Linked DNA regions of Oreochromis niloticus. The protein of the gene in region 1 purifies or fractionates together with the protein of each later gene. This does not show direct contact. Links are inferred from orthologs where the notes say so. Each region holds a gene or a part of one and is shown on either strand. Other genes may lie near its edges. The genes, in order: dhx8 and nudcd1.

Region 1 (8,447 bases):
AATCCAATTTATAAATCACAGCAGGGTGCTGGAAAACTTTATGGCCTGATAATGATTAGAAAATTTACTCCTAGTTTATTCTTTTTTTTCCCTTTCACTCAAACTTCTACTGTTACCTTGACAATCTTGACTGGGCTCATGTCCATGCTTTGCTTTGTGTGGCCTCTCAGAAACGGTGGTTCCTCTTCAACCAGCTCAATTTCCAAGTCTTCATCTGTATGAAATGAAACCAACCAGTTAGGAATCAGGTCACACTTAGTCATGGTTCACATGAACAAGAGCAAATACACGATTTAAATATTCAAGAAGAACAAAATAAAACAGTCATCAAGTATTTAAATAAATTCAGTATTTTAGCATGAAGTATAAATATTTAATACTATCTTGTATATAAGTGCTTTTACTAGCATGAATTACTCATTTATTAAAGCAGTTCAGTCATAGACAAAACAATTTCTTACCCTCTTCATCATCAACTTTAGGAAGGATGCCTGTCTCATCATCAAAATCAGGAAATTCTTCTTTGGACAAAACATTGGCAGCAATCATCTGAGGAAATTTACACAACGAGAGCATTTTTTTCTTTTCTTTTTTCAACAAACACCTTTTAAAATTAGATAGATGCACAGACGTAAACGAAGCTTCAGCCACTTCAAATGTGAACCCACCTGTTTGATCTCCCACTTCTCTGGGTCTGAGATTTTGGTGAGCCTCTTGCGCTCCAGTGTGTCATCCTGTTCCAGCTCCGGCGCGTGGCCGAGGTTCAGGTTGCTCGGCCGATCAGGATTCCTCATGGAGATCTCCTCTCCTCCGTCGGGGCCGACGTTCCTCCTCCTGTTGGGGTTCAGGTCTTCTCCCGTCTCCTGGTCTACATCCTGGCAAAGGAGGAAATAAAAACGTTTCATTATCTGTACCCGGAGCTGAGATACAACGGCTGAAAAATCTCAAGGAAAACATGAAATTCATCAGAATGAATAAATATATACTTTTATGACACAATAAATGTAAAACTAATTAAGCACAAATTATTTGATCAAAATCTTATTTCTTCAGACAGGATCAGAAGGAAGACATCTGAAAACTTCCTTCACTTTAACACAGTACATACTTTATTAAAATCAACTGATAAACACACTGTTATGTGCGTTTGTTTTTTTTTTTACCTTCATACTGAGGCTGGTCTTGGACCCTGTGAATGAGAGCACCTTGACTTTGACTCTTTGGCCTTTGCTAACAACGTCGGCCACGTTGGCCACACGGCCCTCCCTGCGCAGCTCAGAAATGTGGACCAGACCCTCCCATCGCTTCCTAGAAATTGAGAAGATGATCATGGACAACTTTAACAATGAAATAAGAGACAGGACAAAAGAGGAGATATCTCTAAATGGTATGCACTGAAAACATCTTTGGTAACCAGCAGGCCCCTTTAAAACTGAAGGTATATTTATACAATGTTTGCAACCTTATACTAACCTGAGTCCCTCAAGTTGAACAAAGCATCCAAACTGCATGATGCTGGTAACCTTTCCATTGTAGATATCACCAACAGAAGGCTCCTCAGGTGGAGGGCGATCCACATGTTTGTCCCTCCAGCGGTCAGACTCTCTCTCTTGGTCTTTTCTCGGACTAGGTGAGCGCTCAGACCAGCGGGAAGATTTGTCTCTTCTCTTGCCACGGTCTCTATCTCTATCTCTATGCCGATCACGGTCTCTGGAGCGTGACCTGGATCTGGAATAGGATCGGGAACGATGCCGTCTCTTTCGGTCCTTTTCCCGATCTCTGTCTCGATCTCTGTGTCTGTCTTTTTCTCTGCTTCTGCTGCGACTTCGCCTGTTTTTTTCTGATCTACGAGAGGAGAAGAGTCAGAAATACATAAAAATAAACAACAATAATATCCTGAATTCAAACAGCCGTCGCAAGTTTGCTAGTTGGAGCACAGGTGTCAGAGATTTAAATAAACCCAACATGACAATGAAATGTGACCAGTGACTTGAGTCTTACCTGTTCTTGCTCCCTTTGGAGTCTGTCCCGCTGACACTGGGCATGAACATTTCCAGTTCCTTCATGGCATCAGCTGCTACTTTTACATCATCTTCATCCAGCAGAGCCTACAAAGTTCAGTATAACAAAAATCAGTCAACATAAATTGGTCAACATTTCTATTTAGTGTTTGTTTTTTCTTTTATTTACCCACTTTTTAACCCCACATAGGACACTAGCTGAATAAATTAAAAACCTGATGAGATTGTGAGTGCTTCAAAGCAACGTATGTTAGACATGGGAGGATGAAAAATGCCCTTTATTTACTTACAATTACAAATCCTGTTGTCTACAAGCATCAATAAAACATTTGGTATTTTGTGTATATATTGTCAGAAATCTTATTGCAAACTTTCTTGAAATATTGTAATTTTGAGGCTGCATCGCCCACCTGTACTGCCAACACCACCCCTTTCATGTAAACACAAAGAGGAAAATCCTGGGTTCACTTATCAAAATGATAACCAGCTTAGTGACACCGCTTAGCCTGATTGCCAACAGAAAGACACCCTGTGTGTGTTTAGATCGTTTCTTTGTACAGGGCCCAAGTGTACAAGCTTGTTTTGCAATAAAGATAATGGGGACACTGCGGCTTCATGACAGTGTGATAAAGCCACATACCTTCGGTGCCGGCTCATTTGGTCTACACAGTGCAGGAAACAGCTCCCTCAGCTTTTCCTTTTCTGACTTCGGCTTAGCCACGGACTCGGATGCTGGAAGAGGAGTACACGATTAGAAATGTCACTTTTAAGGAGTAAAATATGTCCTTGGGACGATTAGCTGCCCAGTTTACAGCTAGCCTAACTACTTTACCTTTACTTGTAGATGCTTTGGATGGAGGTCGCATCGTCTGAATGAGCCTGAGCAGATTACTGATGAGAGAATCCTACAATAAGCGAAGAAAAAGTTAATGTTTAGTTGAATAACAATGAGCTTCACGAACAACTCGTAGGGATTAACTTACTGTGAATTCGGCTCCATTTTCGAGTAAAAGTGCTTTGAATCCATCAAAGCTCTGTTGTTTTTCGGCAAGGCTGATGACAAATTCAGCTGTAAAGGAACCACAAACAACAAATTAACGAGGAACTAGATGAGACTCATAACTGTCGAAGTTTATATCCCAGCATTAAAAGTGACCTACAACGAATTTTGTGAAGGATTAGTATGTAATTTTTTTTCTAAATCTACTAAACGACACAATAAATCCAAAAAGAACTCATATGTTGACAGTTAATACAGATGCTAGTTTGCTAACAACTACTAGTTAGCATAAGCTAGCTAGCTAGTTTTGGCGAATGGCGATTTTTCAAAGGCATAAAATACGTACCTAAATCTTTGTCATTTATTCCCAGATGGTTGTCAAGCTCCGTGCAGACTTTCGACACTAAAGACAGATATTCGAGCTGCGATAGCTCGTCGACTCCGATGTCTGCCATCGTCCACGAGTTGTTTTTGTTCACACAACGTAGACGCCGGCAGACATATTGGATATGGGCAACATCCCCTTCCGCCCTTTACGGAAACACTTAGTAGAGTTCAAGGTCTGGCTCCTACTTGCCACACGATGGCACTCAAGACCCTCACAATAAATTTTTAGAATTGAAACGTCTCCACCACAGATGTCTTCACATGTGGGGTTTTCATTTCATGTCGTTTGCAAGAGGTTTGCCAGTTCTTAGCACATATGCTTTTCTCCTTATTTTGTCTTCTGTGCTTGTTTTATAAACTGTATATGGTTTATTCGTGCAAATGTTTAATACATTCTTTTTTTGCCACAATATAGATGATAAATTGACTTTTTTCATGTTTTATGTTCTTCTCAAGTGGCCAGGGATGAAAAAATAAGCCGGCCCCTCTTATGTTCGCTTGAGGTTGCTCTGAAAGCAAGTTAATCCCCATAGACTCCCTTATTAAAGCATCTAAACTTCACTTCATTAAAAAAAGCATGTTTAGAACCTAACACCATAAATGAATTTGGTAAGTAATAAGTTGGGTGTGGCTGTTTTGACTGACAGGTGTGCTGACACAGGGAGCTGTAGCTGACAATTGTCTTCTGTGCTTCACCCCCAGTAATCTGAAGCACTGAAGTAAACCTTTCACCAGTGGACCTTTCTCTATGTTGTGAACTTCTTTCAGCCCATTTTAGTGCAAATATGCCAAGAATCTGGTACATCATTTTGGTGAGTGAAATTCTAGTATATAGCTGTTCTTTGCACCCATAAAGTGAATGAATACAGCATGATAACAGGTAAATATATACACATCTGGCTACAAATATCAACATAAAAATGGGCAAAATGCTAAAGATGAGGCTTTGAAATGCAGATCCAAAAACCAGTGGGTGATGTTATGATGATGAGCCATAGCTTCATCGATGATCAAGCTATGGCCCATGGGATGCATTTCAAAACGTAAATGTCTGTTGTTGCCTTGTTGCATAAAAAAACGTTGCAGTGCAATGAATAATTAATTGCCACTGATGAGTGCAGGGGATTGGAAATGATAAAAGAAAACCTCAACCCTGCTACTAATGGTATGTGGACAGGTATAGTTGCTGTCTTGACTTTTATGGTTTTGGCCAGAGAATGTAAAGACAGTCCTCTGTTTCAGCACGTCATGCACATACACAGTCCATTAAGATAAGGTTTTTTATGCTTAAGTAGCAAGCAGCCCTTACCTCATCCCCATCCAACACATTTGCATGAAATTGCAAATGCTTGTGGGAACTACTCTCTGCAGTTAGGTCTTCACACAAGAGCAGAGGCCGGTAGAAAATGAATGACCAGTGATTTGCCATGAAATGTTCAGCAACCGCACATATGAAAATTTAAAGATTACCCACATATTTTTCATACAGTTTATGCTGAACTGTGTGTACGGGTCATGAGAAGCAAAGTGTTTTGCAACAGCAAAAATTCAGTTTCTAGTAATGAATCATGCTGTGCAATCGTGAACGTTTAAAGCAGTTTCACGCTATGACTTTACTTCTGTTTTTGTTTCTGCCACTGTTGCTGATTCATAGTTCTTCACCCACTAACTGTTTTATCTCTTGTGGAGTCTTGAGAACGTTTCAATGAGGTAAAGGTGCAAGGAAAATCATGACTGTATGTTGTATCACCTGCATCTTAACTTACTACAAAAAGCTATGTTTATATGATAAATTCTGGTATGCACTGCACAGGAGACATCCTTCCTCGTCTACTCCTTGGATACCTCCCAGCTTTGATCTCATGACTGATAAATTGCCTTCACTGTTATAGCGCTTTTAAACCTCAACTTTGCTCTGCAGAGCCCTTTGTTTTTCATTCACACACACATATGCACCCCAAAGGGGGCAGAGCTCCCATGTAAGCTGCTCGTTTACCATTGGGAAAAACCCAGAGCTCTGAGTTTTAACCAAGGACACTTCGGCACAGGGTGGGACCAGAGATCGAACCGCTAACCCTGCGATTAATGGACACCCCACCCATCTTATGAACCCTAGTGCATGTTCACACACACACACACACACCACCATCTGTCTGTTTACACATTTCCCTCAGTTGGTGTCTAGTTGGCTCCCTCCTCACAAGCCTCCTGCCTGTAATCTCCTTATTAAAATCAATCCTCATTACCCATCCATAAACACACTACTTATTTCACACACCAGTTTAATCCTGATTAAGAGCCTTGTTTTCACATAACATCCACATAACTTCTGACATTTTATCATTTTTGAAAAGAACATTATGTCCCCATGTGTTTTGCTGTGTTAGACGAGTCCTGAATTTCACTCATGTTTAATCTTTTTTTTTCTTTTTACTTCAATTGACATTTCTGCCATCACATCCTTCCATTTGTTCCTGTGGTATGACTTAGCCAGAAAGGGATTCTCATGGAGAATCTCCCATTGCAGCAGACTGCTTTCCTAATAAATCCCTCATGATCTTTTGCAAGTCAGTTTCTCCCACTCTCACATTGTTCAAAATGCAATCTGGAATTTATTTCACTGTTTATCTCTCTGGTACTGTCTATGCTGCCAAAAGTTCAAAGCATGTACACAGTGCGCCCAGAAATGTGTGGACACCTGAACATTACACCCATATGTGATTGTAAAAGATCTCATTCCAAAGGTATGGGCATTAATCTACTGGAACAATGGCCTCCAATCTTCAGGGATTTGCTCAGATTCTGCCACAAGAGTATTAGCGAGGTTGAGCACCATGGCTGGGTGATAAAGTCTCACTAACACTTGGTGCTCTGATTCATCCCAAGGCTTCTGAATAGAGATGAGGTCAGAAAATCTGCATCTGGCTTTGCATGCTATGATATTGTCATGTTAAAACATGCAGTTGGCACTTCTAACGAGCCCCTTACTTCACTTAAAGCATACAAATACTATTACCCAAAAAATGAAGCTAATGGGTATGTTCAGTAAGGAACACCAGTAATCACGCGTCTGTGTGGTATCCTGGGTGTTCAGGCTACAACTCTATTCTTTACATTGCTTCTTCTTTCACACGCTGTCAAACTCAATACTGACACCATGTCTTGGTGCATGCTTAATCATCCAGGTAAGGAAATCTGAGAAAGATGATTTTGTTCATCTAGACATAGTTTTTTCATTTCATCTTCTCACACTGAAAATGTTATGTCCAGATGGACAGAATCAACTTTAATGGGATCAGCAATGGCACCGTTACTCTAGACCAGTCCTTTTCTTGCCCATCTTCTGTGAGCCAATAAGCCTCTTTCGTGTGCGCTTCAGTAATCTCAATACTCTTCTGTCATTCTGCTTTTAAGAGTACCATTCATGCATCCCTTTTTCCCATTTCCACCTCTCCCTGGTCATTCAGAGCCTCATCCAAGCCTACACCTTCATCTTTACCACCACTAACATCTGGACTCTAGAGGTATCCTTTCCAAATTACAATCATCGCTGGGACTCAGAACTCATCTCACTTAATTGAACTTCATATAAAAGACGGGTGTACTTTCCAAATCTAAAAAATGAAGTCAGTGTGATAGTGCCTTAAATGGTCACTCTTTCTATTGACCACTCCAGTCGCAATGACATTTCAGGTTGTGTAGAAGTTTATAGAAAATTGGCACTTGTCTCCCATAAGACTATGGGCTTAGTGCTGATGTAAGTTCTACTGAATATAACAAAGATGGTCCCCATTACTGAAATGTGGAGATATACTTTACTGTGTTCTTGCTCCTCATGCAGATCTGCACCACACTCACCAACAATGCTGACAGCAAAAATAAAAGTCCGCTTAGGGCTTTATTAATGAACTTCACTAATTGGGAACTTCACAGTGACTACACCCATCTTTTATACAGTTTATGCTGTTGCTATTTAAAGCTTGTTAGCTAACACAGTGTCTCTTGTTTGTTTAATCTAAATACACAGACGACAGTATATGTTTTCAGGGCAAGTTAAGTGCTGTAACTATTTCTTAGTGAATAGATGCAGTGACTCTCTGGAATCTTGTTACAATCAACAAATAGATGTTTTTTCTCCAAGGGCACTTAGCGACTAACTAACTATTGTTTGTTAGTGTTTTTAGATGCTTTAAGGAGAGATGAACTAGCTGTTTCCAAAATGTTTTACAGCTCTGTCAGATGAATTTCTTCATGCCAAAAGATTTTTGGTATAGCAATGAGTAAATCCCCCATCAATGATGCCCTGCTTATCAGAGACAGCAGCCTAACCAAGATCTAATCTCTCCAGCGTGTCCTGGGGCATCCTTCCAATAGAACATGCCCAGAACCCCATAGGCTAAGGCCCAGCCATCAGGCGCTCTCCCTCAAGCTACCTCCCCAGGCCTGGCTCCAGAGTGGTGCCCTGGTAACCCTATACTGGGCAGGATAAACTGGTCCCATGATTTTTTCTTTTTCATGGGAGTCCTCTAAATCACTCTTTGTCTGGTCCCTCACCAGGCCAGTTTGCCTCAGGAAACACTGTCAGGGGCAAAAGGCAACATAGCCCCTAGGATCATTGGGACACAAACCCTGTACTGTGTTAAGGGAACTCTTACTCCATATCTACCAAAACACACAAGACTGTCCTGCAAGCTTATGTTGCACTGTTGTATATACTGCATGCCATGGATTCTGTTCCATGACCAAGAGCATAAACAGTATACTATAAAAGCTACTTTTGGCTGCTCTGTTGTCAAAACAGTTAGTAGTCCCACATAGTTTGACTTCAGAGAGCTTTATGCCAGATGCCTTTCCTCTGACACAACCCTAAAGGGATTTGTGTCTCCAGCTGGAATTAAACCACCAACCTTTCATTTGTAAAGCAAATATCTTAACCACTAGACTATGGAGCAACCATATATAGTGTCTTATGTACTTGAGTATTGGTACAACGACATAAAAGCTGACTCCGGTAAAGTCCAGACAGTCACTGGTGGTCT
Region 2 (9,304 bases), on another chromosome or scaffold:
GCATCACAAATTGAGTGAAGACACCGTTTTTCAAAAGGACTGTGGAGAAGCAACCCCGTTGTTGCCATGGAGCGTGGCACGGCACATTATATCGCTATCTAATGTACGATGCACCTTTGGTATCACTTTCTCCAGCATCCGTGTCGTTAATGCCCTGAAACGGAGTGTGAAACCTCTATGTGCAATGTGCCGAGCAACCGAGCACAAAAGGCTGAAGGATGATAATTATCATGTGATCACTGTAATTAGAATTTGAGCAACACTTTTCCATAAATTTCATTTAATGGTGCCACTGAAAGCCAGAAACACTGTCTCGCAGGATTACAGTGTGATGATCATCAAAGAAAAAAAACTCCAATGAGACACCAATTATGTCTAATTATGGTCAATGATGACTAAGACATAAAAGAAGGCTCGATTGAAAAGGTCATGAGAACGATTTTGCTCCTCATCTCAACATCTTGGTACGGGGTAACAATACCAATCAGAACCTTGAGTCAATTATATAATCGCTCCTGTGATTAACTGGAGACCTACAAGGGCTCATCCAAACTTTATGTGCTCGGGTGATTCATACGACAGACAAAAGACTGCACAGAAAGTTGTGTTTCAGACTAAATACTAAGAGCCACGTTTATTCTGACGTTTATTATTTTGCATCTTGACCAAGGAAAAAAAAGGTTAGAAATAATATTATATAATTTAACATAACTTTTAAAACTCTTGTGTTTCACAGACATCCTTTCTCTTCCCTCAACCTGCTGATGCTCAAGTGTTTGGTCACCACCTACTGGCACATCAGGCGCATAAAAATCCTTCATTGAATACACCATCACAACATCAGGCCCATAATATGAAACGTTATATAATGGTAACATAAAACAACACTGTAAAACAAAGAGCTCCTAAATTTGCCTAAAAACATTTGCAAAGACTCCAAACTTGTGATTTAGGAAACTCTCAGATTACGTAAATTCCCATGGTGAGAGTTAGATTTCAGGTTAAATCCATTTGCCATGATGGTAAATTTAATAATTGATCTAAATTATTATAATAAGTAAAATTGTTCAGATTCTATGATTTACTGCTATAATACGAGGGAGATCATCATGTCTGTGAACGCTCTAAGATGTGAAAAATAAAATAAACTGCTTCACAGCATGAGGCTGTGAAAGCTATCTGCGTGATTGCTCTGCTGATGAAGGTTGGGCAGACCCAACTTGCATTTTTCCAGCTCCAAAACACTTTAGTGATGATGATTTTGTCAATGCTGAGTTTATTATTAGATGTAACAGAATACTGACTACAGTCTTTACCCATGAAACATGTAACCTGCAGCTTTAATCACCTCACTGTTATTCTGAATTTGGAGCACAGACTAATGGCACTAATGTATGCACAAGACTGACCTGTGGCTTGTTTCTACAGCTGCCAAACCACTGTTATTATGCTGGCAAGTTAACTACCATTAGTCAGCTGTAATTAACCACACAGTGTAATGTTAGACTCTGTTTGTCTTAAGTGTTACATCAAATTGTATTCCTCTAACGCTTAAAAAGATAAATTAACCTTATTATGCAAAGCGCAAAGATTTTATTTAATCAACAGGGTGAAAAAAAAGTGGCAAAGCTTCTTCTTTCTGCCAGTTTCTCCTCTGCTTAAGGAACTCCTAAGTAAGTCCTTCTTTTCACTCCACACAGTTTTTTTTATCTTAGAAGCAAATGCTTTGTGAATAACTTTCACCTTTTCAAGATTTAGTTGTAACTTTAGCGAGAAATTCTTAGAAATTAAGAAAAATGTTGGCACTAGGAGCTAGTTTTATGAATATCAAAGATTTTTTATTAAGATCGGTGATTGCTCTCTTATGGTGTTTTCACCCTTGATGTTCTCTTCCAGATCACTTGATGACCTTACATACTTGTGTTTTTGTTTGTTTGGTGTCTTTTTGCATAGGAAAAACTGCAAGCACAATTACCATGTTCGTGTGTGGAACAATGTGCATCATCACATAGAAAATAGTGCAGGTGTGAAAACACCTTAGACATCAATGGAGGGGCAACAATCATAAACAGGCCGAGGAATATAGACTTCCAAAAATAACCCCAAAAAACAAGAGGATTTGCAAACTCACCAGAGTGACGGTGAGATTGAGGACCCGTCCTTTGCAGTCCACAAAGTAAACACTGTCCTCATACCAGGGGTCTAAATGCAGGTAATTATACATCCCAAAGGCACGCATATGTTCCAGGGTGTACTGAGTGTCCTTCAGCTTGACCTCCTCCACGGCTGCGGCAGATATGAAAAAGAAAAGATTAAATACGGCAGTAATCAAATTTCTGTTATTTATGTTGTTACTTAAAAAGCAGTTTACCCTTCTGCCTTTCCTACAGTTGCTTTGTGGAAAGTGTTACATATATCTTAACATATCTTAATATTTCAACATTTTACTCTAAGATGAACTATCGGTGACAAAAAACTGCAATTAACTATTTTTTACAGCTACTATTTGTCTGAATTGTTCCCACTAAATAAAGTATCGTGTTTTTTTTTTAAAGCACATTAATCACCTTGTAATATGCATGCCTGAATCTACTGTGAGTGGATGTCTGTGCAAAGTGTAAGCACCTTTTTATATCAGTAAGATTGTATCCAAACCAATGTTATAATGAATTCTCCTGTTAGGTACAAACTTCATAGATTGTTGATTTTCGACCCACACTAGCTGTTTTATAAACTGGATAAGAGACGTAGTAGAAAACACTTAGATGCAACTCTGGTGAGCTCAGCTGGCCTGAGTTTCGATTAAAAGGAATTAGCAAGCTTTGGTATATGATTATGCAAAATTTTAAAAATGCTGCTCTATTTCCATCCCTTATCGTTTTAATCACTAAAGTACATATCTGGATCAGCAGCCCCACTAATTTGGTATTGCTCAAACTGAAGTTAAGAGCTTGAAGTTAAAACATGTATTACAAAACTAACCTTATAACATCCCTATGATTGTTTTTAAGTTATTTAAGATTGGTGCACTTGACTTGTCCTGGCAATATAAATGAGTTATGTATGTGTATGAAGAACAAATTGTAGTAATTAGTCACTTCAGCGTTAATCTGTTAATTTTCAGTGGTTTAAACTATGCTAATGTTCAGATTTTTCTTAGTGATCGTGTGAAAGCTCATTAGGTTACAGTGGTGGACCTTAAGATCTCATTGTGAGCCACTGAGCTACAGATACAGCTGCCAAAATATTATGTAGCATCAACAGCTGACGTCGTGACGTAGTGACAGCCAATAAAATGTCTGAGATAATTTCAAATAACTTACATTGCTATTCCTATTTAGTGTTATACTGGACAGAAGTTATACTGGACCTTTCTCAGGGCTAGGCTAGCACACTTGCTAACTGCACTGCATTAAGTTTTTCTCACCAGCATCCAGCTCTATGTTGTACGTCGGTATGGCGTCCAAGGATAACCTGTAACTCTCAAAGTTTGGGTCCAACAGGTCTCTGTTGACCTTCAATGAGTAGTTAGACGCAGTCATGTCTTTTTCAATGAGACTGGCTTATTCACAAGTTGATGACAGCCTGTGTGCAGCAAGAGGAGGAGGGTGATGTGTAGCCAGCGTGATACACGTTTCCTGTGTTTTCGTCATTGTTTTCTCACACGGAGCTATTTTACGGCGGACAAAACCTCCCAGGGCGCAGGGGAAGTTGAGTCCTGAGCTAATCTCTCTTGAAATGCTTAAGTAACTGATTTAATTTAGTGTTTTCAGTTTAAATGTATTGTATTATATTTTTCGTCATTAAACAGGTATTTTGAACACTAATGAGACTATCATTGGTTATTCAGGTTGACGTTGAAAGATTAACCACTCCAAAGCCGGAACTTTTAAGCGTTAAACGTTTTTAGACGGTTCCGTTGTGTAAAGGGACCTTATGTTCCCCAGCTGATCCTTCTCGATAACGGTAGCGGCTACCTGATAGGGAGCTAAATTAGACATTATAATATATGTTTTTATTATACTCTTGCGTCCAAGCTGACTGTGTCGGTGTGTGTGTTTAATTTCAGGCGGATCATGAGCAAAGATTCCCAGATGAGGGCTGCAATAAACCAGAAGCTGATAGAGATGGGGGAACGGGAGCGGTAAGCGAGTCTTTCACTGCAGTGATTTGGTGCTGGATGGTTTGGCGTGGTTTTGAATTGCACATATTAAGTCACATAATGTGAATTAAATGTGTGGCCGCAGGTTGAAAGAGTTGCTCAGAGCGAAGCTGGTGGAGTGTGGGTGGAAGGATCAGCTGAAAGCACACTGCAAAGGTATTTGACTTGTGCTTATGTTAGTGTCCGGCGATGATGTCGTGGTGCTATAAAAACAAAAGTCACTAAAGTCATTACCTCCCGTTTGAGCCAGATGTGATCAGAGAAAAGGGCCTGGAGCATGTCACAGTGGAGGACCTGGTCACAGAGGTCACACCAAAAGGCAGAGGTACAGTACAGATGTTCAAACACAACAGCAGGGGGAGGAAGACTGTTAGAAGTGATGAGCATACTCATTTGCTTCGTTGATTTAGATGTACAAGTCAATTTATTTATTTAGCACTGCACATCATCTTTATCCCTAATACATCTTTGTGCATGCTAACTAACAAACTGCTAATGTTGTAGGTCAGCACTACTTATTGATTACAGCTCTTACGATTTCAGGTTTCCCTGATATACAGTCTTGAACCACCCCTCACTTCTTTATATTTTTCTTCCAAGGAGCCAGATGCTGTATTTTCTCTAAACTGTTTTAAACTGGTCTTCAGTAGTAGTTCTTCAGACCTTCTGAAGGTCTTTCAGAGTTTTTCTTTGGACATTTACTGCCCATTTGAAGAACACTTTCAGATGCCTCAGTCATTTTAAATGAGCTTTAGCCTAGAGAAGATGGCAGTGTTTCTGGATCATTTTCCATTATTCGTGCATATTGGATATTGGATATTAACCATTATTCGTGCATGGCATGGTGATTTCTGGAAATGTTTCTGAGCTTCGTAGGAAGTTGTAGAGGGAGCTGGTGCCTCTTAAAAGTCATATTTTATCTACCAGGCCAACATTATAACATACATAGAAAAAATATTAGAAACAGCTGACAGGATGACAACTTCTGACAATAAAAGTATCGTGTTGTGTGAGTATGTAAGTTTCTATTCTGTGTTCTGACTTAATCTCTCTTCATCTCTTCATCTCTTTCCTCTGCAGCACTCGTACCAGACAGTGTGAAGAAAGAACTCCTCCAGAGAATCAGAGCTTTTTTAGCTCAACATGCAACCTTGTGAATGACACAATTCCCTTTTTTGTTTGTTTGTTTGTTTTTACTCACTGTTGATCCACGAGTGAAATCCAAACTGTTGTTTATTGTGTTCATTTTAGTGCTAATTTTATTTTGTATTGTGTGTTTTCATATTGATTTTTAGTTTATGCTGCAGTTTTGGAGAAGAAAAATAAAGTCATGCCTATTTTGGTCATTCTTGTTGTAATTGCTACCTGTCTGGTTGATCCAAACCCAAAAGTGCAGACAGATTAAGTCTTAGTGAAAAAGGCAGTGGACACCCTCGACAGGTCCCCAGTCTGTCGCCCATGTCGAAAAACCAAAAACTTATAATTGCATCTCAAACTTTGAATTATTTACAGTTGTTGAGAAAATACACCCAGAAGTAATAATGTTGATTGGCAGTAGGTTTTACGGATCAGGAGTTAATAAAAAATGATCTGGTCTTAAACATGTCTTGAAATTAGATAAATATTATCTCAGATAAATAACAAAACAAAACTTGCTGCACAAAATACAAAAAGAGTGTGTGAAAAAAAGTACATCATTACTGCCTCCATAGGAATTAAGAGGCTAAGTAGCTGCTAATCAAATGCACTTGAATAGCTGATCATCAGCAAGTGTGAGCACCTCTATAAAAGTAGAAGTTTTGGCAGTTCCCTGCTCTGGAGCTTTCCGGTGTGTTAATGCAGTGCCAAGGTGGAAGGACATCAGCAATGATCTCGAAGAGCACTTGTTTCTGCCCATCAGTCTTGGAAGTTTGTAAAGGATATTTCTAAATAATTTGAAGCTCATCATTCTACAGTGAGAAAGATTAGTCAGTCACAAGTGGAAAACACGTAATGGAGACATCCCAGCAAATTTTGATATAAAACTTTGATATATGAGCTACATCTCAGACTCTACAGGCCTCATTTAGCTTGTTAAATGTTAAATTCTCAATTCTGCTGTTCATACTGCCGTAGTGCAGGCAAAATGAAAGGGTGTTTGTTCAGGGTCTTAAAAATATTAGAACACACACAAACATCATGCAACCACCCTGCCCTGCACAATCAGACACACATGCATCCCAGACGCATCACTGTAAAATAGTCTCTTTAAAAGAAAAAAAAGATAACTATATAAATAAAGAACTGAGTAAGAAAGATAACTAATTAAAACTAATTCTAAAGACTCCTGGGTATGATAGTGTACATAACCAAATCAACAGTTCAGCATTCTAACAGCTTGTGGGAGGAAGCTGTTGGAGGCTTTTATAACCGTTTGCCTGATGGCAACAGTTCAAAGAATTGAGGGGGGGTGAGGGGTCCTTTATGATTTTCAGTGCCCTGCTCCTGCTGTGGCTCTTGAAAAGGTCTTAGACAGAGGGGAGGGAAACTCCAAGGGCCTTCTGAGCTGCTCTAACTATCCTCTGCAGTGCTGTTTTGTCTGACATACTGCAGCTGGAACACCACGCTGATATACCGTAGAACATGCCTCTGTAAAAAGTCCTGAGGATGCTGGAGGGGACAGAGGCTTGTTTCATTCAGTCCCTGCTGGGCCCATTTTGTGATCACTGAGATGCTCTTGTCCCAGCTCAGGTCCTTCGAGATCTGAACATCCAAGAACCTGATGTCTTCCACTCTCTGGGCAGTCGCTGATACTGAGAGGAGTGTGCTGGATCTGTATCTTCCGGCCTGAGAACAAATCCTTGAGGAGATCCAGCGCTCAGCGTGGTGGGTTTGGAGATCTTTCTCCCAAGACATGTGTGGTGTTCAGCCCCAGTAAGTGGAGTTTCTCTAGTAGTCTCTGTGGAATGATGGTGTTAAACACTGAGCTAAAATCAATAGGAGTATGGCATATGTCCAGATGGGTGATGGCTGAGTGCAAGGTGGTGGTTAATGCATCCTCTGTGGAGTGGTTAGGATGATAAGCAAACTGGAGCAGGTCAATTAATGCAGGAAGGGTGGCTGTGATGTGTGGTTTGATAAGCTGTTCAAAACACTTCATCACAATTGTTGTCAATGTGACGGACCCGTAGCCATTTAGACAAGATAAAACTGGTTTCTTTGCTATTGGCACTATGGTGGATGTTTTGAAGCATCTGGGTACGGTGGCCTGACTGAGGGAGATGTTAAAAATATCATTTAGGACATCTGCCAGCTCACCAGTGCAGTCTCTGAGCACATGTCCTGGGATGTTATCTGGACCTGCAGCTTTCCGTGGGTTGACCCTGGCCAGGGTCCTCTGGTATCTGCTGCACTTATGATAACAGCTGGCCCTGCAGATAATGGAGAACCCACTTTCCCTCTGTATGTTCAGTTTGATGCCTGGAAGCATGCAAAGAAGTTATTAAACCTGTCCGGAAAAGAAGTGTCATCTTTGTTGACCCCTTGCATGGGTTTGGAATTCATCAGTGCCTGTACTCCCTGCCACGTTCGTCTGGTGTTTCCTGTCTCGCAGAGGTGTCCCTCGCAGACCTGGCCACACGGAGAGCAGTCTCATCCTCCACCAGGGTCTCTGGTTGCCACGTGCAGTGAAGGTCTTAACTACAGTGACATCCTCTTAGCAATGTAGCTGTTTACTGCCTCTGCGTACTCCACATTGTTTATCTGGTCTCCCTGCGAGGCTGCTGTCTTGAACACCCCCCACCCGGTGTTCCTAAAGCAGTTTTTAGTGCTGAGGCTGTGCTGAGGCTGCATCCTCTGGCCAGATCCTGGTCTGTTTTCTCACTGGTCTGCTGCGCTTCAGGAATGGTTTGTAAGCAGGCTCAGGCGTAACAGAAAGGTGATCAGAGTGGGTGAGGTGGGGGTGGGGGTTTGATTATAAGTCCAGCATGTTCATACCTCTGCTTGAACTTAGGGAGCAGTCTTTAAACTGCTGTTGTTAAAATCCCCTGCAATCACAACAAAGCTGTACAGGTGTACATGGAGAATACCTGTGTTGAAGAACAACGTCACGTCATTGCTCAAAGACAATTTGGTAACAATCTGGAAGAGGTTTGTTACTTTACATTTCTTTTAAATACCTTGAAGGTGTTTTGTTGGATTTAAGTCAGGTGAAATAGTTGAAACAACTTGTTTTTTTGTTCTTGAAACACTCGTGTGATTTTTGACAATGTGCTTTGGATGATTATCATGCTGAAATATTTCTCTGATGTCAGGCATCTGAAGGTAAACAGCGGTTTGGCATTCGTGATTCCATCTGTAAAGTCATGAGGACACCCTTCGAATCATTTCATATTTATGAATATTACACCCACTTTGGTGAATTTAATTAGGCAATCTTTCTATGCATTGTTTGGATTTTTTTAAATAGACATAGTCTAAAGGAAAAAGGGTCACCAAGAGACTGGTCTGTAATCTGTCAGTGAACTATGTTTGACATTATTTATTATTATTATTATTATTTACTGTTTGCCAGTTTTAGATCTGTTTTCTTTTTATGGTTCCAGGCACAAATTAGTTGAAGAGGAAATCTGCAATTAATATAAGGTTGCAAGCATCACAAGGAGTTTTATTTATCATTGTTATGATCACAGACAGTTTTACAAACACTCAAAGACTGAAAGGGCTAATGTGAAGCACTACTGTACGATGTGTTTTATAAATGAAACGTGGACAGAATAACATGAAGACCACTTCAAGAGCACATTGTGCACAGCGAAAATGATTGCACTTTAATGCAAATTTAATCCAGCAGTCATGAAACGGTGGTGTGAAAAAGTCAAAGGCTACACAAAGGCCATATTTACTGAAACTCAACAAATGCAAAACGTGTATAACTTTGCAAACTTTAGCTTTTTATAGCTCCACTTCTTTCTCCACATTTTCATAGATCATTACGCTCCGTGTTCATGGAGCCATTATTTATCACGCTTTTGACTCACTTTCGTTTTGTTTTTAAATGCAGACATCTTGAAAATCTGATAAATGCGGCAAAATGTTCTTCCAGTCTCCTCCCAGTTTCAGGTGAGGGGCGGGACCCTGAGCACGTTATAAAAAGGTAGTGCG

What was found.
Region 2: the proteins of dhx8 (region 1) and nudcd1 purify together in Homo sapiens (affinity purification with mass spectrometry; 3 studies listed by BioGRID and IntAct, counting the BioPlex papers as one, with this or other methods). This does not show direct contact. The link is inferred for Oreochromis niloticus from reciprocal best matches to the Homo sapiens genes DHX8 and NUDCD1.

What each region holds. Positions count from the first base shown.
Region 1 is NC_031973.2:6,133,047-6,141,493, reverse strand, and holds the start of dhx8 (ATP-dependent RNA helicase DHX8), read right to left. Parts: upstream 3,560-8,447; 5' UTR 3,477-3,559; coding exon 3,368-3,476; intron 3,091-3,367; coding exon 3,005-3,090; intron 2,927-3,004; coding exon 2,854-2,926; intron 2,754-2,853; coding exon 2,662-2,753; intron 2,109-2,661; coding exon 2,002-2,108; intron 1,846-2,001; coding exon 1,474-1,845; intron 1,309-1,473; coding exon 1,164-1,308; intron 876-1,163; coding exon 669-875; intron 550-668; coding exon 462-549; intron 215-461; coding exon 117-214; intron 1-116.
Region 2 is NC_031985.2:12,075,569-12,084,872, reverse strand, and holds the start of nudcd1 (nudC domain-containing protein 1), read right to left. Parts: upstream 3,677-9,304; 5' UTR 3,543-3,676; coding exon 3,428-3,542; intron 2,287-3,427; coding exon 2,132-2,286; intron 1-2,131. Other genes in the region: transcription and mRNA export factor ENY2-2, read left to right, coding at 4,077-4,144, 4,248-4,318, 4,413-4,487, 5,243-5,319.